Kluyveromyces lactis: one gene and its partners. The main gene of each other region encodes a partner of the protein of the gene in region 7 in a complex. Links are inferred from orthologs where the notes say so. Each region holds a gene or a part of one and is shown on either strand. Other genes may lie near its edges. The genes, in order: MRPL44, RTC6, MRPL13, MRPL32, MRPL11, MRPL9 and MRPL4.

Region 1 (3,124 bases), on a different chromosome or scaffold from region 7:
AAAACGGTAATTATGAAGGAACATGGGTAAAAACAGATGTGGAAACTGGAGTTGGTGGCCATTATTTGCTCAGAAGGGTTCGTAAGATTAATAAGATCAATTAAATGACTCCTCAATTTCTTTTTATTTTTTTTTCCAGCCTGCAAGAGCTCCACACAACAACTAATGATACCATGAATTAACCAACTTTTCAATTTTTACTCATAATTCTATCCTAAACTCTTTCGTCCCAAAAACCCACTGAAGAATCGGTGAAGCTAACCATCGGATTGTGTTTTCTTAATTTTGAGATAGCGCCTTTGAATCAAATGCAATTCAACGAGGGATTCTTGTTATTATTTTTATTTTATTTTATTTTATTTGTGATATCTTTAAGATAGAATCATTGACACAAATCGTCATATGTCAATTGATTCATGTGAAAGTTCTCAACAATGTATATGCTTTTAACAGATATTTTTGTAACAGTTTGTGCTTGGTACAATCAAAAAATTAATGTGACGCTATTATTAATTGCTGAGAAAAAGAAAGTACATTGACCATGCTGCTTGTTAAATTAGTTTGTTCTTTTATATTATACAAAATGCTCACAAATGAAGCAGATAACAATGATGACCGGAATTTGGAAATTTATGTCCAAAGCTATATATAGTCATAGTTGCGATTAGGTGAAAAATGTGAAAGGTTCTAGGAAAGAAATATCATATCACCCCCAAATAATCTTCCTTGATACTGCCAATGGCGTAAATAGAGTTGACTTCCGATCTTGCACCGACGATTTTTAATCTTACTCTAGATCCTTTAGTAATAATTTGTTCTGATGATTGATATGATGGAGGATTGGAACCACTGTTGAAAGTCAAATCTTCTGGCATCAAAAAAGGGGAAACGAAGACAGACAAAGGTCCAACTTCCACTTCAAAACCTAAGTTTGTACAACTAGATACGATACCATCAAGAACTTCTCCCTTGAAAGGTTTCCATACCACAGCTCTATATTTAACAGTAAACTCTGCTGACCCGTCCGTAGGCAAAATCCGTCCACGTTCAATCTCGATATTTTCACAGTCTAAAACACATAGGATATATCCGAATTTACCGGTACATGTTCCTTCCACCTCTTGTAGTAGCTTTGTCATCAAATATCTCTTCATCTGAGGTCCAAAGAATGATGGATGAAGCGTTATATTCAACGACAAATCTTTGAAGAAAAACATGGCTCTGTAGTTTATTTCGCTTCTATAAAAAAGATACTGGTCCTTCAGGCAATAAGATCAAGTTAAAGTATAGTTACAATCAAACTGAAAGTCCAATTCGAATATGAATAGTTCCTTTTTAAAAAGCTTGCCAATAGATTCACCGTATCAACGGCTGTTACAATTGAATAAACGAATGAAAAACAACCCGCACTTAGTTCAACCTGCAAACAATTAAAGGCGAGTACCTTATATCGACCTTAAATAACAATCCAAGGATCCTAAAAACCGATTGTGCTAAAAGCAGTCTTGCTTCATTTGCAAATATTGAAGTTGTTCATTTTGCAATTGGATGTTTCTTTCAATATTTTTCATTTCGTCAAACATCGCCCAAAAACATTCAAAAACTATCCGGGTAATAGTATAGCCTCTGATGAGATCGCTATTACCATTTAAACAGTTTTAGGCAAAAAGCTAGAGATGAATACAGCTGTGAAGTATGTTTTTGGATGAGGACGTCTCATCAGAGTAATACTTGGGAGTTTGTCAGCTGTTGTCAAGAGAACTATAGAGCAACATGATCACGAAATATTTTACTAAGGCAGTTGTGAAATTCAATCCATTAGGAAAGGAAGGTATGTCTTCAAAGAAAGAGAAATCATTAGTTGGACATCATTTAAAACTACCGAACACCATTACTAACATAATATGATTTACGGTTGTTTTACTATTAAAACATCAATCGTCTCATTTATCTTCATCTACAGCCAAGACAGCTAGGTTGTTCTTAAGTGCTATTCCTCCTTCACAAAGAACAAGTGGATTACAATTGCAAAACGAAGTTTTGGTTTCTGGCTCTAATAAGAAACCTACAGTGAAAGTTACTTTCAAAGATAAAACTGAATTGGAAGCTGATCCAAGCAGTATGAACTTCATGGAACTAGGGAACTACTTTGATCGTCATTCAAGAAAATTGGCCCTAAAGGAAAGTATTGAATCTCAATGATTTCTTGTGACGAGATACCCATCACAAAATTCATGTATATATAACAATAAGTAAAAGAAATTTAATGTAGTATAAGATATAAAACACTACAATGCTTCAGTGGATTAAATTGAGTCAACGCTGTTGGTATGATCACAGACCTTATTATTTGAAGCTCCCTTCCTGTCCATTATTCATTTACATCGCCTGAATAGGAATTTCAAGTTTCTTCCAGATATTGAAAATTTTATACGGTGCCAATGCAGAAGCGATGAGCTAAACTTAAAATCAAGAAGAACTTCTATGTAGAAGCGACTGATAACTAACCTGTAAGCAGCCACGGCCACAAAAACTACCAGTAATATACAAATGTCATTTTACTTCAAGAATATCAAGCCAGATCTTCATTCAGGAAACGAAGATGAGGAAGATGACATAGCATCAATCATAAGAATAAACGATACAAGTGATGCAGAAGGTTCACAAAGCGAAGATGAGCTAAAGACACTCTCATTTGGATCTTTGAAGAAAGCTGATGAAATGATGGACAATGAGGAACAAACCAGCAGAAAAAGCAAAAGCAAAGCGAATGGTGAGAAGAAACATTTGAATAAGCCAAAATCAAGAGAGTTGACTGAGAAACAAAGGAAACTTGATGATGGACAGAGACGTCAGAGCGGATTACAGGAAGAAGAAGCACAACAAAAGTCACAGTCTATCAAAATGTTTGCAGAAGAATCTTTCGGAGAAGAAAGTGATTCTGATAGTGATGGCGGCTTTTTCGATGAAGAATCAAACGATGAGGCTAATCAGAATGGTAAAAAGAAGAAAGGTAAAAGAAAGCACGCACCAACCGAATCATCGTCAAAGAAGAAAGTGCGCTCCATGAGAAAGATTCCTGGGTTAGAAGATAATAAGAGTAAATCCATCTATCAAGATGTCA
Region 2 (2,694 bases), on a different chromosome or scaffold from region 7:
GGTTCTAGTTGAGTTGAAGAAACTATCTGTGACTCTCGCATCTCCAGAGGAGCCTGCACGTTTGTAAATTCCATTGTTTCCTCTGTAATTGCTGGTATCTTAGGTAATTTGAAAGCAGATTCTGAATCTGCATCTAGCGTAGGTTTTTCTGCATCCATCCGTATTTGGTCAGTTATTTCCATAGACTCTTCTTCGTTAAAGCGGCGTTTCTGCGGTTCTGTAAGGTCCATTGTTTCCTCCAAAACTTGGTCTTCGTTACCATTCTCTTCTTCTTCTTCCGCAGCAGTAGAGGTTTCTTGCGGTACCACATTATCGTCTGGTTTAGCGCTATGTTTTGCAAATAACTGTGTTATATCCATTGAAACCTCTTTGTCGAACACAGGTTGGTACCCATCATTTTTCGGTTCGCTTGGAGACTCCAATTTTTGGAATATTGAACCTATCGGACTAGTAAATTCCATTGTTTCTCCAGAATTGTCGTTATCATTTTTGGTATCGGCCATAGAGGCTTCAGCTACTGCCACTTCCAATTTTAAAGCGGATTTCCTTCGAGGTTCCCTTACATTTTGAATCGATTGTGGTATGAATTCGAACTTGTGCAAAGTCACATCTGGTGCAAAGGACACACGGCGATTTCCCTTCGAAATCGCAGCACTGATCCGGGATGTCGTATTGTTTCCGTCCAGTATATCTTCTTTGGTAATTCCCTCAGTAGGAAACTGTATCTGGGACATAGTCAAATTATGACTGGTGTTAGTTGTATCATCATCCTTAAATTTTTGCTTAAGGATACTTCTCGGAAGCAAAGACAATCGTTTTGGATCTGTCATATGAAGCGAGACTATCAACACAGGGTGAAATATGATAATAAATGGAAACTTAACCTAAATATTAGTCCTTAAGTTTATGATGATTCGGTATTTGTGTGTCAATATATTGATCTAAAATTCGATTGTTTACGTTTTCGAAGTTCAATGTTTTCGATTCAGAGCGCTGCTGCACATACAGTGAGAACCGAGAAAAAGGATAAAACAACTGCCTTGAAGAGTCTCTTAGAAAGGATGGGTGTACTTCATCAATTATTTATTTGTTAGTGATTCGAAACGGTCTTCAGATTTGCCCAAAGATGTTCACTAGATGAGGATGTTCAAGATCTCAGGTCATAACCATCACGTGCTATAGTCCGGGTAAATATCTTAATCTCCATTGAAACTATTTTGAAAAATTATCGAAGGCCTTTTCATGGTAGATCATCAGCTATAGAGGGCATGTTCAGTCGGTGTGATGCCTTATTGACGATTGTGGACTCCATTAGTACGTTTCAAGACCGTGGGTGATATCAAAAACTGAAAACTCTTCACAGGTATAACTCTGGAGCCCGATATAATATAAAGAGAGGGAAATACATACATAATGAGCACACTTTTCGGAAGTACGATGTTGAACTCGTTGACAAGACTGACAAGGCCAGCTGTGAAAAGTATCAATATGCTATCTATGCCAATGATGGGTCTTATGAACCCTCCTTTGACCAGAGGTTTTAAGGTAAGAACTTCCATCAAGAAGTTCTGTAACGATTGTTACATGGTTAGACGTAAGGGCAGAGTGTACGTTTACTGTAAGTCCAATAAGAAGCATAAACAACGTCAAGGTTGAATTACAATCGCCCTCCCATTCGTCCCAATCTTTCATGTATATAGATAAGTCATAATGGAGGATGTGTTCTTTTCTTGAATGTGGAAAAATGCAGCCTTCTTTCTATAAATAATTTCCATTCTATACTAATAAACTGGTTTTAAATATATAAAATTCTGAAGTTTAGATGGTTAGATATTATTCATCTCGCCAACAGGAAAGTCCTAATCCTCCTATTAATATAAGTGTTTTCTGGACGTTTGGTAACGTAACTATATCACTGGAACCGGTATCTGCTACTGTGGTATATTTGCTCTCCGTTATTTTCAGTTTGTCATTCGTAATGTCCCTAATTCTTATGACCTGGTCCACTGATGTAGCCAATAATTTTGTGTCATTATCTAACAGATTCACTGATGTTACTGTTGATGAAGCAGCATACGAATCGTGATCTAGTATTTCGGCTTTCATCGTGTAGTTGTCATTGTTCGTAAATTTAGTGATGGCTACAGCATTGTCATCACCCCCAGAATATACTTTGAATGAATCCGAAGACTTGTCAAGCTTCACGTCGAGTGATTTGATACCTGCTGTGTGTACCAGGATTTTTTCGGACCAGTTTTGTAATTGTTTTGTTTCCAATTTGAGGCCCCTGTCAAAAAGCTCATTATTCCTTATCTCGAACGGAACGGAATTAGTGATGTCCCATGTAATTAAATGACCATCTGTTGGTGCAATCAGAAGTTTCAAGCAATTCTGTAACGGAATGAAAGCAACGTTCCAGATACAACAGGTTTCATATCTTCCATCTATGATCAAGGTGAAAGAATTTTGCTCGTTAAAGTAGTGCCATACTTTCACTGAACTGTCACTGTATACTGTAGCCATTATGAAATCGCAAGTGTCACCATTCAAAAATAGCACATCGAAATCCATTATCCGAAGGTCTGGATTGTTCATAGAAGGGATTAGTTTCTGTTTCAAATTCACATATGGATGAGAGAATTGATCATTCAATTCCCATAAGAATAGCTCTTCCCTTGCACTACACGTAATGAA
Region 3 (3,114 bases), on a different chromosome or scaffold from region 7:
ATAACAAGACCCACAGAGTATCCCTAAGGCCAATAGAGGGGGTTTCAAAACTAGTTGAACTGATTGGTGAAAAACTAGGAGGTTCAGATGATGTGGAAATTTTATATGTGGACGATGAAAATGATCTTGTTAGCATCACTCATGATCAAGATTTGATTGACTGTGTGCTTGTGCATAAAAACATGAATCTAGATAAGATTGATTTATTGGTTCATTATAGATATGAGACTGTACCACAAGATGCTGTGAATAGATTAATCCAAAATAGGTTCAAAAAAAATGTGCCTTCTCATCCCAAACCATCTAACCAATTAATTCCTGGAATTCCCAATGAAACCCTTCTTCCAGCAGTAATTGTTGCTCTCGGTGCGTCAATTGCCGTGATATTTTCGTTATCGAGAAAACACTAGGTATACAATCAATGCCACGCTCTTTTCAAACCTTATATAAAAGTATATATATATTCACATACAATAATTTTTTTTTGGTGATTGATCTCTCATACTAATGGTTATAGTAACATTATGTATAAGTATTTATATTATGTACAGGATTTAGATTGAAGGAAAAGTCAAATCAAAGATCTGAAAAGCGGCCGACTGGCCTAGTTCAAATGCATTGGAAAAAAAGATATGCGATAGTAAATATAAACAACCCAGAAGAGAGATTGTTTTCGGAGTTTAATCCCTTTTAGCTTTCTCAATAGCGTCTCTTTCATATTGAGCTTCCAATGCGGCGACCTCTTCCAAGATTTTCTTCACCTTCTGTTTTTTCACAGATGGTTTGACATCGGGAACCACGTACACGTTTGGTGGGAATTTGATATTCGATAAATCAATGGCGTTTGGTTCCGATTCCTTAAATTTCCCTAGTTGACCACTTAGTACTTTAATCTCAAACCACGATTTAAATTCCAATGGAGTTTGTAACCTTGTAAGTTCGTAGTCTGGGATAATGTGTCCTGATTTGCATTGTAGCAGTTTACTGAATTTGAACTTGTTTACCAAATTTTCGAAAGGTTTCCCCAGTTGTTCTTCCGTTGGGACATCACCGAAAGTTTCCTGATAACTTTCCAAAACAACCTGTTCCAACTGTTGTTCGGTACTTAATTTATCCTGAGATAACCACTCGTTGAATGGGACGACATCCAACTTTTGTAAACGAATAAGTTCTTCTCTTCTAGATGAATCGATACCAACAAAATCATCATCTGTTAACTCTAATCTTGTGACCGTTGAGCTCTTCACTACAGTTGTTTTCCCGGACTCGATCTCATTTATAACTTCTTTTGTATCTCTTTGCAATTCTGGCTGTGTTGAAACGACACCAGCATCTTTGTTTTTATTTCTTCTGAACCATGACAAGAAATCAGAGCGCACTGCACTTGAAGTGAATTGTCTTGATGAACGCACTACTGGCACGTACCTAGACGCTAGCATCATTATTCTTTTTTGTTTTCGATTGAAAAATATGCACAGTACCACGCTTTAATGAACTGATATCAACCGCCAAATCAGACAACACTAGAAGATACTTCTGTGCTTAAGCTCATCAAGAACTTGACCGTTCAATTAATGTTCTAATATACAATATCTTCATCAAATTGTAAGTTTATAGTTTTTAGATGAAATTTTTCAATTTTTCAATTGGGCATAGAAAGAATGTAGTCCATATGGGAAGGTTCTAAAGAGAGAAAGAAACAGGATCTGAAGCGATAGATAGTTGCATCATAGTGGTCTTTAACAACGGGTCGAGTTAAGTGCGTACTTCCTGGTTTGCATGATGTTCACTGTATTCAGTAACTAAAAGCTGCTTATCTATGTAGCCCGATAGATAAAGAAGACGGGGTTACCCTATTCAAAACACCCACAACCCACATACTAGAATATGAAATTTATGCTTCCCAGTGCTTTTTATCAACATCTATAGTAAGTGTAGTTCCTTTACCTTAAAGCCACCAAGGCAATGAGATAGTTTACGTTTACTAACGAATTCTAGCATCAGTAGCTACCGAAAATCTGCCTAAAACATTTAAAATATTATGGGAAATGTGCTAAGTTGCTGCTTTCGTCAAGATAGCGACGAAAATGACCCGTTATTGCAGGAACAGGACAGGTACGGCTCACAAGCCCAATTAGATTATAACGAAATGGAACAACGACAGAAGGAAAGAGTGCTTGCAAGAGAACTTGAATTGACCGAAATCGTGAATAATACGAACGATAAGCTTATAGATATAGGTATGATCAGCAACAGCGGTATCGTAGCATCCTCACACGATTTAGGTTCGAGCTATGTGCAAGATCAAAGAGAAATTTTACATGACGTACCCTTAACGGTACTTCCCAGTTCGAAAATAAAACAGGACACAAGGAAGGCGATTCAAGAATTTCACAAAAAGTACTTCGCTAACCTAGTGAAAAACCTTACCGTGGAATATAACAAGCCATTGGTCGCCAATATCGAATCGTGACGCAATAGGTTTCTGCACTATTAGCGCACTCAAAATGGGTTCACCAAATGTTGAAATGCGATATATCACTATATACGTCTGAACATTTCTCAATCTTGTAAAGGTACTTTCACTCTCTTTATTGAAAACATTGAAATATACAAACTTTGTAGAATAGACATATAAAACAATACGCAGTATACGATTTTGGTTTGTCAAAGGAGCCAATTAGGTACGGTTAGAGTAAGTGCCTTGACTGCTGCATATATACTGAAATTTGTTCATTTAAGAAGCCAAGGAAGCGAGGAGGCAAAAAAAAAAGCATAAACAAACTGGAAAGCGCCAAATACTATGGCTGTGAAAAGAAGCAGATCAGAAGATCCCAGTGAGGAACCCGAACAAAAGCATTCAAAACAGAATTATGTACCAAGATATACACCAGGAAAACGTCCTAGAAGCGGCGCTCTACCCAAAGTGGATTATGTGCACCCTTTGGATCCTACAGAAGAGCTCATTGTAGATCTAGATTGGACTATTCCTAAGTTGAATTTGTTCATCGCATTTACTTTGGATAATTTAGTTGAAGCTCACAAGGCTTTATTCAAACACTTTATCAAACTACCCAGTAGGAAGTTTCATCCACAGTACTATTACAAAATTGA
Region 4 (3,149 bases), on a different chromosome or scaffold from region 7:
TACATCCGAGGTTCTGCAAGTCATTTGGATCATCGATATATGCGAGTATTTCGATTATAAGATCTTCTGGTAGCACTGACAGAGAGCCTAACAGCTTTTTCCTAAGCTTTCTAGTTTCCTGAGGATCTGCACCCTCTAATAAAGAATTCCCGCTAGGTTTTACCCCTAACGGATGCGTTGGGATGCTGGTAAATACAGGAATCCTGTAATTTGGCACCTTTTTCACTTTCTTGAACTGTCGTGTCGTTGTCATACTGTATGGAAAATTGTCAGCCTTATTGTCAATTTAAAGTGAAACAAAACAAAACAACCAATATCAGACCAAACTGTTAAACTGATGCCAGTTTTCAGGTCCTGCTTAATCCTGTATCGTGTATTCGCACCTCATCTCATCTCATCGCTACTTCAAATCTTTTCACTCATGATTTTTTTCTTTTCAATCTGATCTTTTCTCGACTGATTTTCACGCCTTTAGGCCTGGCATCAAGCCTGCTCTAGGAAAATTTTTGTATGTGATTTGATTCTATGTAGAGTTGATTGTGATGAGATAATGAATCTAACTATTACTACAGGAGGTGAATGCTGACACTGAAATAACCTGCTAAAATCTGGGACGTGTATTCGACATATATATACAAGGTGATGGGGGGATTGAACTTGATAAAAGGTTGTTTTTTTTTAGTCATTTCCGCCGATGTGTTATTTTGTACTGGATTCAATGAGAAGAGGGTTTAATGTGATCCTTCTTTCTTCTCAGATCTCTCCACTGGCAGAGTTTTCATACGTCTCTCCAAATAAGCATCCTTGTCCTTCAGTTTCTTTGTGTATTCAGTTTCTTTTCTACCAGGATACAAGATACGCTTGTCCAATTCAGACAACTCTTGTTCTTGAATAGGCTCCACTTGTTCAACGTTAGTGTGAGCCTTCCAGATGTGACGGATTTCACCCACACAATGCATACATAGCGTATGTGCCTTCTTGTAATGCCCACATGAAGGGCATTTGTTCAAATGGTTGATCATTTTCAGCTGTTTGTCTCCAGGCGCATATAACTTTTGTCTCTTCTTCTGATGCGACACTTTCTTCTTGGGCACAGCTAGAAGGATCCCGTTATTCGTAAAGTAATCCGCTTGAGGTGAAGACTTTTCACGTTGGTTTCTTTCAAGCAATTCCAGCAGTTTCTGTGGCAATGCAGTACCAGCTGCTGGAGTGCTCCAACGAGGCAATATTGATGTCGCTGTTTCCAGCAACACTCTGCTAAAAGATTCCGTTACAGCTCCAAAAGACATCCTCTAATTATTTTCGCTGCTGGTATGATACTATGATGAAGAGGAGAAAGGATAAGTTCAATCGATAGGGACAGATACTAGTTTCTCTAGGTCGCTCGTCTAACTCTGTTTGAACTTCGTCAATTCAAATTGGTATTGACGAATTGGATTATAAGAAAGAATTTTCAACATTACCCTGATTTGGTGATGATCTGTGTCCCTTTTTCGATTTCGATGAAAAAGACGAAAAATCACAAAAACTAAAAATGGAACTCGAAACGAAATAAGTGTGTCAACAAAATATAAGTAAGGAATCAGATCTTGTATTCTTTAGAATAAGTAAGATTGTGATTACTTTTTTTTGACGTTTCTGTGGTTAATTGCTACTCATTGTTTGAATTTTTGTTATTGCGGTTAATTGTTTTTATAACTTAGAGGTTTTTCATTATTTTAACTTCCAAACACTAAAACACGTAAAGCTTTGATCATTTGGATTTGACTTATATACATCTCTACTACGCGAAAGGAATTATTAAAGGTAAAATACACGCATAAACAAAAACAATGGCATCTAGTACTGCTGCAGCTGGTATGACTTCTTCTTCTGATGGGTTGGCTTTGGTAAATCCATCTTCTTATGTTGGGTTTGATTCGATTACTTCACAGATTGAACATCGTTTGTTGAAGAGAGGATTTCAATTCAACGTTATGGTCGTTGGACATTCTGGTCTGGGTAAGAGTACTTTGATCAACACTTTGTTTGCATCTCACTTGGTTGATTCTTCTACTGGTAAGGACATCACTCAGGAACCAATTAGTAAGACCACCGAGATCAAGGTTTCAACACATTCTTTATTGGAAGACCGTGTACGTTTGAACGTGAACGTGATTGACACTCCAGGTTTTGGTGACCAGATAAATAACGACAAAGTTTGGGAACCTATTGTCAAGTACATCAAGGAGCAACACTCTCAATATTTACGTAAAGAGTTGACTGCTCAACGTGAAAGACACATTGTAGACACTCGAGTACATGCAGTGTTATATTTCATCCAACCTAACGGTAAGGGTCTAACAGAACTTGACGTTGCTGCTTTGAAGAGATTGACAGAAATCGCTAATGTTATCCCGGTGATCGCTAAAGCTGATACTTTGACGTTGAATGAGAGAGCTAACTTCAGAAACATCTTACAAGAAGAATTTAAAAAGTACAATTTCAGAATCTATCCATATGATTTAGACGATCTGACCGATGAAGAAGTGGAACTGAATAAAAGTATAAGATCTATTATTCCATTTGCCGTTGTAGGATCTGAAAAGGAGATTACAGTGAACGGTGAACTAGTAAGAGGAAGAAAAACTCGTTGGGGTGCCATCAATGTCGAAGACATCAACCAATGTGAGTTCGTATATTTAAGAGAATTTTTGATCAGGACACACTTGCAAGATTTGATTGAGACTACAGCTTTGATCCACTACGAAAGTTTCAGATCCAAGCAATTGATTGCTTTGAAGGAGAACGCCAACGCTAGAACTTCTGCACACATGTCTCAGACATCAACAACAATGCTGCGTTAATAGGTGGAAAAAAGAGCCGGGAAGACTTCTAGAAGAAACGGCGTCTTTATTTCAAAAAAATGTAGCGTTTTACCGGTACGCAAGAGCTGTGCCAATTATTTTTTTTGTGTTCTTCACTGGTTTGAATCCTGCCCTAGTAAAATGTCGCTTCATTTCCATATATCTTATTGATAATTGGTAATGTCTCTCTATTTCTACTTGTCAAACGTCTCTTAATCTCTTTTTTATATATCACATTCTCTTTTTAGGATTTATAAACCCCATTAGTTAACTATAATACTACATCACGTATAACCAACTGGT
Region 5 (3,353 bases), on a different chromosome or scaffold from region 7:
TTTCGAATAGAGGATGTTCTTCTAAGTGTTTTACCATCCATTCATGTAGATCTAGAACATCGGTGATTGTATAAATGATACCACCCTCTTTCAACACATATGCGTACTCACTTAGTAATGTATCAGTGACGATTCTTGCTTTATGCTTTCTTTGCTTGAAATGGGGATCTGGGAAACAGAAAAATATCTTGGACAACTGTCCCTTATTAAAAAAATTTGGCAAGAATTTCATTGCATTACCTCTTAATACATTAATGTTTTGATATCCGTTTTCCTTCGCGTGGTTGGTTCTCAATGCAATAATTCTATCTTCGACATAATTCGTTACTTGAACACGAATCTCCATACCCAAGATCATTTCATCGGGAAATTCTGGAGATAAATCGATCATAAGACCACCATAACCACATCCGATATCCGCAATGGTAACATCTTTCGTCATTTTCTTCTTTTCACTATCGTAGAAATGAGGGTACAATTTTGACCAGTCCATATGAGCTGGGCTTATTGGATACTCCAACTGATGATCACTGAATGGATTCGAATGTGCTCTTTGTCTGTAAAACTTTTTTTTAGGTAAAGATAGTTTATCCACCTTTTCAATCACAGATTCATCGATCTTGACATGTTTCAATTCTTTGCGATGATCTTGCTTCTCAGCACGATACGCCTGGCGTCTAGTACTAAAACTCATATTTTCTAACAAAGGCAGTTATAGGAAATTTGAGTCACTGTTAGAATTCAATTATGTTTATTCAACACACATTAACGGTTGGTGGAAGTAACTGCTTTGAAAAATTGTAACCTCATCGCCTAGGTTTTCTCGACTCAATTGATTCAGTGCATGTTCAAAAACTTTTTATTTCTTTACAATATACAAATGAGATCAAAAAAAGTCACGTGCAAAGAATATGTACAGGAGTTTATATTAATATGTGATGGGTTTATTTAAGTACATCGATACGTAAAAATGATTTATATTACATTTCATGATGGGGCAAAAGACTTTAATTTCCTTCGCTGTCATTCTCGTTTTTCTGCTTATCTGGGTTAATATTATCTTCGTGAGACTTTAGAGTTAGGTACAACATGTTTGAGCCAGCTTCTAAAGTTTGAACTAAACCAGCACCGCTCAAGACGTGCAATAGTCCCAGTAATTCTGATTGTAATTGACTTTTTGTTGGTAGATCCTTGAAAGAATCCAATTGTCTCAAATCGTACGCATCATTTTCAACTTTGGCGCCAATAACGAATAACTTGTCTTGGGCTTTTTCCAATAATTTCATGACTTTTTTTACCTTTGCCGGATCAGTCTCTGGGAACGAAATTGCTGCCGTAGGACCTTTGAACAAGGGCAGTAAAGGATGCTTCCAGTCTTGTTCTGAACGTTTCGCTGGAGCAGCTGGGTCATTTTTGCGTGAGTTTCTCAAGTATACTTGGAACAAATTGTTTCTCAAGATTGTTAACTTGCCTCCTACCTTATTAATTTCTTCTCTGAAGTGTGCATTCTCCCCTTTCATCAAATTGTTATGATGACAAAACAACATTACCGGACTGGTTTCCATCAGGTTTTTGTAAGAGTCGATTAGGAAAGTCTTACGAGAGTCCAAAGGCTTTACTGTTCTTCTAACTGCATCCGAGACAGTTCTCTCAATTTGCGTAGAGGCAAACCTCCTAACCAAAAACGGAGAAGCATATGAGACACGGGATACCACCACTGGGCTTCTTAACAAAAGTGACAACATGGCTATTTTGAGTGGTTGGTGATGACCTGAGCTGTGGATTCGAATCACTTTAAGCGAATTCATTCCCACCAATATATCTCTTCACTACAATATATCAATCTTCAGTGATTTTTCAGATTTTTCATTTTTTTTCAGATTTTTCAGTATCGTCGAATTTCAATACTTGGTACAATAAACCGACGAGAGGCATAGTTAGATTCAATGTAAGAAGGTATGAATGGTAATTGGAAGTGGTATGAGTGCCAAAATCGGTATCAACAATGGAGAAGGGAATGAAGACTTTCTCGTATATTTTCCATGGCAGCAAAAAATGTATATTGGTAATTTTTTATATATCTTCTTTATAGTATATATAATCCCGAATGAGGCAAAGGTCGATTCACGTGACTGTTCAAATTAAAATGATAGAGGAATTGGTGAGTTCTGCTCTTCTTTTCGAACTGCAAACTGTCATTGCTATCGTCAACATCATGCTTAAATAATGTAATCCGTTATAGACGTCTCCTGTCCAAGCTAGGAGGGATGTCGAAAGATTAGATTTCTTCCTTACAAAAGGTAGTCCGGGATTTATAGGGTCGTAGTGAAATTGTGAAGAGATGCAACTCTACTTCGTCATTGAAAAAATAAATGCAGTCATGTAACTGACGAGAATAATGCACAATTAGTGTAACTTCATCGTTCCATTGTGGAATTTGTCGCTATTCGGGATTTTCGTACATTTGAAACAGCATAGCTCTGTGCTGTAACGGTCTGGAAAATTATCTCATCTCATCGACAAGGGTTTGCATTAGTTGTCTCGCATCCATATCACGGATACGGCTGACATTGGATCCTGCCCAATGTGCTGCGAAAGAATTTGCGGTACCATCATGATCTGGAATAGACACGGCATTTAACTGCTTCCCCACATCGTATGTAAATGGATACCCTGGATGTATCACTCTAGTTGGAATATCCACCTCAGTGTGCCAACTATTCAACAAAGCTCGCGCCGGACGACCTGATATGCTGCTTGTGATTTGAGTTATGTCATTTCTTGTTTTGTCAAATAATAATTTCCTGTAATTTTCTGACGCAGCCGATTCTTTGCATTGGACAAATGCGGTTCCTAATTGAGCACCACTGGCACCTACTTCCATCATTCCTTTAATATCTTGACCAGACATTATTCCTCCTGCTGCTACTATAGGAATAGTTGTGCCCAACTTTGCTTTTAGTAATTTCACCAAATCTCTCGTGGATATTGCCGGATCTAATGATGCGTTAAACATTCCCCGATGACCACCCGCTTCGACACCTTGAGCGATTAGGATATCTATCCCGTGCCCAATAGCCAATTCAGCCTCACTTAATTGAGTCACACTTGCCATCGTGACAACTCCCGCTTGCTTCAATGATTTTAAAGTGCTCGCAGATGGCACTCCGAAATGGAAACTAACCACTTTCGGTTTCAATTCTAACACCACTGCAAGCATTTCTGGATCTTCCAAGAAACTGTTATAGATCTTGGTTAATTCCTTTTCAGGTTTAGTATGGAACCGAGCAAATATTGGCTTCAAATATTCGATCCAATTGCGTGCCACCTCCACGTTCAACTCTTCTGGCTCA
Region 6 (3,343 bases), on a different chromosome or scaffold from region 7:
TACGTACGCATCACCTGCGTATCTCTGTGGTTCTGGTCCTGTTTCCATTCGTAGAAATCGACCTTCTTGAGAAGCTTCTGCTCATGATGTTTCAATGCTCTTACCATACTGTATTACCTAGTGTATCTGCTTGGAGTATCCTATCCTTATATTGGCTATGAGACCACCAAATGACTTGCTGAACGCTCTTGAAACCACTTCAGCCTGCTATATCATTCAGTAATTGAGATGAGATGACGATGCGTAGGCGATGAGCTTGAAATTTTTCAAAAAGAAAGGGCAAAGATCAACAAGTCACGTGATGCACAGGATAATATAAGCACAAGGTATTTACTCCTGTGTTTCGACGAAGAGCAGTCTCCACATCCCATTTCGACCCAGGAGTGGCCTAGATGGTCACCAATCGAGAGTAACAGCCTAAGTATATCTTATTTAACAATCGTCAAAGCAATTAAAGTTACCCTCCCATACTATCTCACTATTAAAATTTTGATTCCAAGTGAAAAATTGGTTGAAAGACGCATAGAGATGAGTGCTGGAAGAACAGATTGATATAGACGCATTTGATCTAATATACCCAGTCATATAGCGGCTGCAAAGTGGGCTAGACTATTTCCAGGATATACACAATTACCATGACATTTGTTTCCAGAAGACTCTTTTCTGTGTCGGCTCTTCTGCGCTCACATATTGGTTCTTCTCCGGTGTATTTGACACCGGAGACCAAGTTGGTGGTGGAATCAATGAAACTGCCAAAGATCATCAGAAAGGGTAACAAATCTCTTAAGTTATCTCAGAACGTAACTGTATCGGGTCCTTTGGGGAAGATTGATATGGAAATCCCAGATTTCGTGGAGATAAAGCAGGATGGATCTTCGGGAAAAATCGAAGTTGCAGTGAAGGATTCTACCGACAAGACGCAAAGATCCATGTGGGGGACGGTAAGATCTCATATAAATAATCATATCACAGGCGTGAATGAGAGCCATATGGCTGTTCTGAAGTTCGTTGGTACCGGTTACAGAGCTCAATTGGAGGAAAATAACACCTTTGTCAACGTCAAAGTCGGTGCGTCGGTAAGACAAGGCCTACCTATCCCAGAGGGAATCATAGTTAAGTCTCCGGTACCCACGTCGTTGATCGTGGAAGGTGTCAACAAGCAACAAGTGCTACTCTTCGCTGCCAACTTGAGAAAATTCCATCCTCCAGAACCATATAAGGGTAAAGGTATCTACGTTAACAATGAAACTATCAAGATCAAGGATAAGAAGATCAAATGATGACGATAGAATGATGATTATAATTATTATAATATTAAATAACATGTAAATACAGAAGCATAAACATACACTTCCAATAACCGTCAAGGGCACACTTAATTTGTGTTAAATCAGTGAGAGAACTACGTGCCGTTTTAATCACGTGATCTATAGGTAACTTTATCGATTCAAAAAATTTTCAATATCGAAACAGCTTTAACAATTATACAGAGATGGAAACAGGTTTCAATAGAGTCTTTAAACTACATTTTAAATCCTTTACAGTTTCTCCAGCATTGCCAAGAGGTTATCTGGATTGACACATTTGTTATCAATCGACCAGTCTTTGAAAATTGGGGAATAATGGCATTTATTGGCAGTCCTTCGTCGAAGATTTGGACAAGACTTTTCTCACAAAGTGGAGTATCGAACGGTGCCAAGTTAGTCGCACCATCCGTGGCAAGCAGCATTCATCTAGATCCTGTAGATATTAAACATTCTCCAGAAAATGCGCTAAAGAGAAGAAGATTACCTCTACGTTGTGGTGCTTTGAGTAAAAAAGTAGGGATGATGCCGTATTTCGAGAAAGAGACTGGTAAACGTATAGCAGCTACTGTACTTCAGTTGGACAATAACGAAGTTATACTACACAGAACTCCAGCTGAAAACAATTACTGGGCTTGCCAAATTGGTTATGGTAACAAGTCGCCGGAGAATGTTACCAGACAAATGTTGGGACATTTCGCTGCACATGTTGTGAATCCAAAGGAAAAAGTTACCGAGTTTAGAGTCAAGGACGAATCTGGACTACTACCAGTGGGTTCTTTAATCAAACCTTCGTGGTTCAAGCCTGGCCAATACGTTGATTTAAGATCAATCAGCAAAGGTAAGGGTTTCCAAGGTGTAATGAAACGTTATGGATTCAAAGGTTTGAAGGCATCCCACGGTGTTTCCGTATCTCACAGATCTGGTGGTTCTTACGGTCAAAATCAAACACCTGGTCGTGTGTTGCCTGGGAAAAAGATGCCTGGTCATATGGGTGTCGACACTGTAACAATTCAAAACGTGCAAGTGCTGGACGTCAACGACGAAACAGGTACTGTCTTGGTGAAGGGCTCTGTCGCAGGTCCAAATGGTGCATTCGTTAAGATCCAAGATGCTATCAAAAAGCCAACCCCAGTATAAAAAACTGTGATTAAGAAATTGAATCTTTTCAGTCGTTTAGACACCGTCCCGAAATCATTTGGAAAGCATGCCTTTCTACGGTTATTATTAACAATCTATACCTGTATATACACCAATTATAAAATAGTAACTGCTGCAACGTTGAGTGTCCTTTTCAACCAGATATTTAATGGCTTTCATACGTTGATACTGGATCCTGGGTATATGTCGGAGAGAATTGATTACAATTTTTTTCTCTATGTGGGAAGATATACGGCCTGCTATGTATATATTTGCCTTGCTTGACAAGTGTTAGTTTCAGCTTTCATTGGATCCGCAGAAACTTTTTCGTTTCTTGACCATGCTGTACATTTCTGTAAGGTGTTATCTTTACTCATCATCATCCAATTCCGATGGTTTCAATAACCCACCGATCTTGGAAGCTCTTTCTCTTTCAAGTTTATGTTGTTCCGCGAGAGCTTGTTCTTTGTCCTCTGCGAACAAATAATCGGTTGGATCTCCACCGAACTCCTTGATCTGGACCAAGAAATCTCTAATAGTACCAGTGAAATGCTTTGGATCATGATATTGTTTGAGTAGCGCTTGAATGAAGTTCATAACCTGTTCACCACTCAAATGAGGGAATGCATTGCTTAACATGGTTGCTAGATAGTTAGCCAAGTAAGCTTGATTAGAAGTGACTGCAGGAGCTTCATCTTCCTTGTATAATGGTACAGCTATTCTATTTTCTTCTACTCTGGCAATCAAATTCATTAAAAGATGAGCTTGCTTGCTGAATCCAGATTTGTGATCTGAATCAGTGAGGACATAGAAGGTTTCGCTAAGGAATGTGAAGTAATAGTTCTTGTAGAAATCGTTAGAGAATTCAGACGGACTAGCGGAATCAACGTTTTGAATAA
Region 7 (3,497 bases):
GCGTATCCAGGTGTGGGTCCGAAAGTAGCTGATTGTGTGCTTCTCATGGGAGGGTTGGGATTTGACGAGGTAGTTCCTGTCGATGTACACATCGCAAGGATTGCATCGAGGGACTACAAATTAAACAACACTAAGCAGGAAATCAGTGAACTGCAGGCTGAATACAAAAAGTTACCGATTACACGTAAGAAGGTGAACTATGAACTTGATATGTACAGAAGGAAGCTCCAGGATCTATGGGGCCCATACGCGGGCTGGGCACAATGTGTCCTTTTCGCACAAGAAATTGGGAAAACAGTTGGAGCAAGTACAAGTGATAAATTAGTGAAAAGACGCAAACTGGACTATGATGCATCTGGAGAAGAAGAAGACTTTAAAGTTGTAGTCAAAGACGAGGCAGAGATCAGTACGGAAGATTCTTTGTCCACGGTTAAAATTGAAGATACTATGTCGATAGAGTATAGCATTACTGGGAGGCCGCTACGGAGAGCGGTAAAAAAGGCTAAAAAGGTCTATTGAATTAATTGACTGCAAATAAAACTCTCTTTAAATACAATTCTTATTCGTCAAATTAAAGTGTTGTCGAAGGAAATTTTTTGTTTTATATTCCGTTATTTAAGTTGGTGTATACATATGTACAGGAAGGCTGGGTTCATCCAAATGGACGGTTACACTTATCTCTTTATACAATCACTTCGATGGCATTAATATCATAGTGTATTAGCGTTGTTTTTTGCATCTTCTTCTTGCAGCTGTATTTCCGCTTCTGTTACCTTTGCCATTTGAGCCTCAGCTAATTTATTAACATATTCTTGAACAGTTTCCAATTCATCGTATCTAGACACAGAGGAGCCATTTTCTCTCAACTCCCTTACCGCTTGACATGCTTCTGCGATGGCAGATTCTGTGTTTTCTGATGTATACAGAAGGAAGGATTCACCTGCATCCACAATTGTATTGTTAGATTCTTCTAAAAAGTTCTTGATGTCCTCGTTTCTTAGTGCAAATTTCTTTAACTTCAATGTTGCAACCGCTTTCAATCCATCCACAAATGTTCTGTCCACTTTGTTCTCATCGATGTACTCAGAGATACCGTATATGGCATATTGAAAACGTTGCAATGATTCGAAAATCTCTTCATCTTCGTTAGCAGGAGCTTCTAAAAAGTCTTTTTCGAATGATTCGATAAATACTTGTTTTTCAACAGCAAATTTCTCATTCGCTATCTTGAATGCCCAGTCTCGTTCGCTAAGGACGTGTCTTATTCTCCACATTGTCGTTCTGATCTTTTCGGAGATATCTTGGTATGCTTCGGTTTGTGCTTCAAAGTTGAACTGCACCAAATGGTTTTCACGTGCTAATACGTTACGTTCTTTCAAACATGTGTACCACAAAGAATGTAGGTCAGTGAACGATTTTCTTCTCAACTCTGGGATGGTCCAAGGTCTCGAAAGCGTATCCAATTCCTCGGGCGTTCTTAAAAACTTCTTCTCGGAGAAAAATTGCCATAAAGGATGATCATCTGGACATGTCAAATTGGCAGCAGCCGGTGGAATAGGAGCTGTAATCTTTAAATCATTATCGTGATGGGTCCTCTGGGTAGGTAGTCTAACGTTCTCTCTCTTGGCTGGTTTGGGTTTAGGTTTGGTGAATCTCGTCCTGGCACATGCTCTAGAAGTAGTATGCAATCCCCTTCTTGCTGGGAACATTTTGAAAATATAATATCCCTGCTATAATAAACACGTCCTGCAGCTACTCAATCGAGGTAGAACACTTCAATATCACGACAGCTAGCTGATTCATCCATGTTTTAATTCCTATTCAGCTTTCCTCTGCTTAAATGTTATAAAAATTTTTTGATCGAACAGAGTTGATTCGGGGTCCGTCATTAGGTTGCCCGGCCTTTGTCATGTGATAGTCACGTGAATATCAGGTTGACTATTGACTCTCTTAGTGAAGCATAGTGCAATAAGATGATAAACTAGCATCGCATATCCTGGCCATCTTTCAACAGGTACAGTATCATTCAAAGATGGTTGGAAACGTGTACCTTCCCTGGTTTAACTGATTATTCTATAATTCAGAGCTTTCCATTGACATCGAAATTCAAAACTTCAACACTTTTTATCAATTAGTACGTTAACAATAATTTGGTGATTAAGTATGTTATGGAGGATGCTCTGGAGTGTGAATGGAACTAAGCCTTGGATTGTATATCGACTACTCTACTATACCTGGTACTCCATTTGATAAACTGACAAAGGAAACCATTCAACCTAACTGCTGTACCCTCTATCAATTGCATTATTGGTTATTGTAAGAATACGACTGCATCATAAATATAGAAGACATACACACTTTACGCCGCAAAGATGTCTGATACGCCTCTGGATCTATTAAAATTGAATTTAGACGAGCGAGTATATGTGAAATTACGTGATGCTCGTGAATTAGTGGGTACTCTTCAGGCTTTCGACTCACATTGTAATATTGTTCTTTCAGATTCAAAGGAAACCATTTATGAACTAGTAGAAGGAGATTTGAAAACGACCGAAAGGTTTTCGGAAATGATTTTCGTTAGAGGTGGTCTTGTGGCCCTTGTAACAACACCAGAAGATGAATGATTGTCCAGTATCCTTCTTCTTCTTTCAACATTTAATAAGGGAAATTCGAAGAAATAACTTCATGTCCTCATTATTGATTGAGTGCGATGTGAGCTATCCTCATTTTGCCCCCAATATACATCCATCGCTAACATTTGTATAGTATATATTTAGTTTATTCAATTTTTTTTTAACTTTCGGTTTACAGTTACTTAGAAACTATAACGTTAATTGCCATGGCTTTGATTTTATGTCCTGCATGTCCACCATCGACAAATGTGGGTAGCGTTTCCTGTTAATTCGTTTTATATACTGTTCCGTCTTTGTAACATGTTTTCTTTGTCGGCATAAGCAGAAGTTGTGGTACCCGCAATTGGCGGTAATTCGTTTTTCTCTTGCAGATGTTGTAAAAAGTCATGACCGTACGCGTAGCCTACTTGGTATATTTCTTCAAACTTACCAAAATCCAAAGTCGCATAGTTCTCAATAGGAGGCCTGATGTACACCACACCTGGTGTACTTTTAGCCCTTTCTAAGGCATTGACAGAAGCAACATATCCTAATCTCATTTGTATTTCCGCCATATTAGGAATGTTGGGGTGTTTCGAAAATGGATTCCATCTATTTAAAACAATCCAAAATCCGTTCAAAGAGTCTCCGTATGACATTGGAGTCCTATCATCGACTGATCCAACGTCTACTGCAAACACAATTTTACAACCTCTCTGTGTCATTTCGGTCACTGGTAAGTTGTCGACATAACCTCCATCTAGTAACATATTACCGTTATCCACAATTGGAGGAAGAAGGCCCGCAAGTGACATAGAAGCTCTAATATAACGCCATGCAAAACCTGATGAGTGAATCTCTTGAACTGACTCTGTAATATTCGTC

Evidence for each region.
Region 1: MRPL4 (region 7) and MRPL44 share a complex: the UniProt entries of both Saccharomyces cerevisiae proteins name them as parts of the mitochondrial large ribosomal subunit. The link is inferred for Kluyveromyces lactis from reciprocal best matches to the Saccharomyces cerevisiae genes MRPL4 and MRPL44.
Region 2: MRPL4 (region 7) and RTC6 share a complex: the UniProt entries of both Saccharomyces cerevisiae proteins name them as parts of the mitochondrial large ribosomal subunit. The link is inferred for Kluyveromyces lactis from reciprocal best matches to the Saccharomyces cerevisiae genes MRPL4 and RTC6.
Region 3: MRPL4 (region 7) and MRPL13 share a complex: the UniProt entries of both Saccharomyces cerevisiae proteins name them as parts of the mitochondrial large ribosomal subunit. The link is inferred for Kluyveromyces lactis from reciprocal best matches to the Saccharomyces cerevisiae genes MRPL4 and MRPL13.
Region 4: MRPL4 (region 7) and MRPL32 share a complex: the UniProt entries of both Saccharomyces cerevisiae proteins name them as parts of the mitochondrial large ribosomal subunit. The link is inferred for Kluyveromyces lactis from reciprocal best matches to the Saccharomyces cerevisiae genes MRPL4 and MRPL32.
Region 5: MRPL4 (region 7) and MRPL11 share a complex: the UniProt entries of both Saccharomyces cerevisiae proteins name them as parts of the mitochondrial large ribosomal subunit. The link is inferred for Kluyveromyces lactis from reciprocal best matches to the Saccharomyces cerevisiae genes MRPL4 and MRPL11.
Region 6: MRPL4 (region 7) and MRPL9 share a complex: the UniProt entries of both Saccharomyces cerevisiae proteins name them as parts of the mitochondrial large ribosomal subunit. The link is inferred for Kluyveromyces lactis from reciprocal best matches to the Saccharomyces cerevisiae genes MRPL4 and MRPL9.

Annotation. Positions count from the first base shown.
Region 1 is NC_006039.1:594,479-597,602, forward strand, and holds MRPL44 (mitochondrial 54S ribosomal protein mL53), read left to right. Parts: upstream 1-1,773; coding exon 1,774-1,831; intron 1,832-1,963; coding exon 1,964-2,202; downstream 2,203-3,124. Other genes in the region: DIT1 (Dit1p), read left to right, coding at 1-104; DNA-directed RNA polymerase II subunit RPB7, read right to left, coding at 702-1,217; rRNA-processing protein RRP36, read left to right, coding at 2,551-3,124. UniProt on the Saccharomyces cerevisiae protein: Component of the mitochondrial ribosome (mitoribosome), a dedicated translation machinery responsible for the synthesis of mitochondrial genome-encoded proteins, including at least some of the essential transmembrane subunits of the mitochondrial respiratory chain.
Region 2 is NC_006041.1:1,682,887-1,685,580, reverse strand, and holds RTC6 (mitochondrial 54S ribosomal protein bL36m), read left to right. Parts: upstream 1-1,413; coding exon 1,414-1,656; downstream 1,657-2,694. Other genes in the region: kinetochore-microtubule binding complex subunit SPC105, read right to left, coding at 1-830; tRNA (34-2'-O)-methyltransferase regulator RTT10, read right to left, coding at 1,834-2,694. UniProt on the Saccharomyces cerevisiae protein: Component of the mitochondrial ribosome (mitoribosome), a dedicated translation machinery responsible for the synthesis of mitochondrial genome-encoded proteins, including at least some of the essential transmembrane subunits of the mitochondrial respiratory chain.
Region 3 is NC_006037.1:257,824-260,937, forward strand, and holds MRPL13 (mitochondrial 54S ribosomal protein mL50 MRPL13), read right to left. Parts: upstream 1,443-3,114; coding exon 681-1,442; downstream 1-680. Other genes in the region: KLLA0_A02893g (uncharacterized protein), read left to right, coding at 1-410; MEH1 (Meh1p), read left to right, coding at 2,042-2,473; RSC4 (Rsc4p), read left to right, coding at 2,804-3,114. UniProt on the Saccharomyces cerevisiae protein: Component of the mitochondrial ribosome (mitoribosome), a dedicated translation machinery responsible for the synthesis of mitochondrial genome-encoded proteins, including at least some of the essential transmembrane subunits of the mitochondrial respiratory chain.
Region 4 is NC_006042.1:1,182,399-1,185,547, forward strand, and holds MRPL32 (mitochondrial 54S ribosomal protein bL32m), read right to left. Parts: upstream 1,290-3,149; coding exon 732-1,289; downstream 1-731. Other genes in the region: KLLA0_F12804g (uncharacterized protein), read right to left, coding at 1-253; septin CDC10, read left to right, coding at 1,833-2,846. UniProt on the Saccharomyces cerevisiae protein: Component of the mitochondrial ribosome (mitoribosome), a dedicated translation machinery responsible for the synthesis of mitochondrial genome-encoded proteins, including at least some of the essential transmembrane subunits of the mitochondrial respiratory chain.
Region 5 is NC_006037.1:292,322-295,674, forward strand, and holds MRPL11 (mitochondrial 54S ribosomal protein uL10m), read right to left. Parts: upstream 1,746-3,353; coding exon 1,008-1,745; downstream 1-1,007. Other genes in the region: TRM8 (tRNA (guanine46-N7)-methyltransferase), read right to left, coding at 1-694; KLLA0_A03289g (putative nitronate monooxygenase), read right to left, coding at 2,504-3,353. UniProt on the Saccharomyces cerevisiae protein: Component of the mitochondrial ribosome (mitoribosome), a dedicated translation machinery responsible for the synthesis of mitochondrial genome-encoded proteins, including at least some of the essential transmembrane subunits of the mitochondrial respiratory chain.
Region 6 is NC_006041.1:1,425,918-1,429,260, forward strand, and holds MRPL9 (mitochondrial 54S ribosomal protein uL3m), read left to right. Parts: upstream 1-1,622; coding exon 1,623-2,444; downstream 2,445-3,343. Other genes in the region: snoRNA-binding rRNA-processing protein IMP3, read right to left, coding at 1-107; MRPL6 (mitochondrial 54S ribosomal protein uL6m), read left to right, coding at 636-1,280; exportin CRM1, read right to left, coding at 2,814-3,343. UniProt on the Saccharomyces cerevisiae protein: Component of the mitochondrial ribosome (mitoribosome), a dedicated translation machinery responsible for the synthesis of mitochondrial genome-encoded proteins, including at least some of the essential transmembrane subunits of the mitochondrial respiratory chain.
Region 7 is NC_006038.1:467,557-471,053, forward strand, and holds MRPL4 (mitochondrial 54S ribosomal protein uL29m), read right to left. Parts: upstream 1,710-3,497; coding exon 711-1,709; downstream 1-710. Other genes in the region: 8-oxoguanine glycosylase OGG1, read left to right, coding at 1-519; U4/U6-U5 snRNP complex subunit LSM3, read left to right, coding at 2,373-2,624; NTE1 (lysophospholipase), read right to left, coding at 2,909-3,497. UniProt on the Saccharomyces cerevisiae protein: Component of the mitochondrial ribosome (mitoribosome), a dedicated translation machinery responsible for the synthesis of mitochondrial genome-encoded proteins, including at least some of the essential transmembrane subunits of the mitochondrial respiratory chain.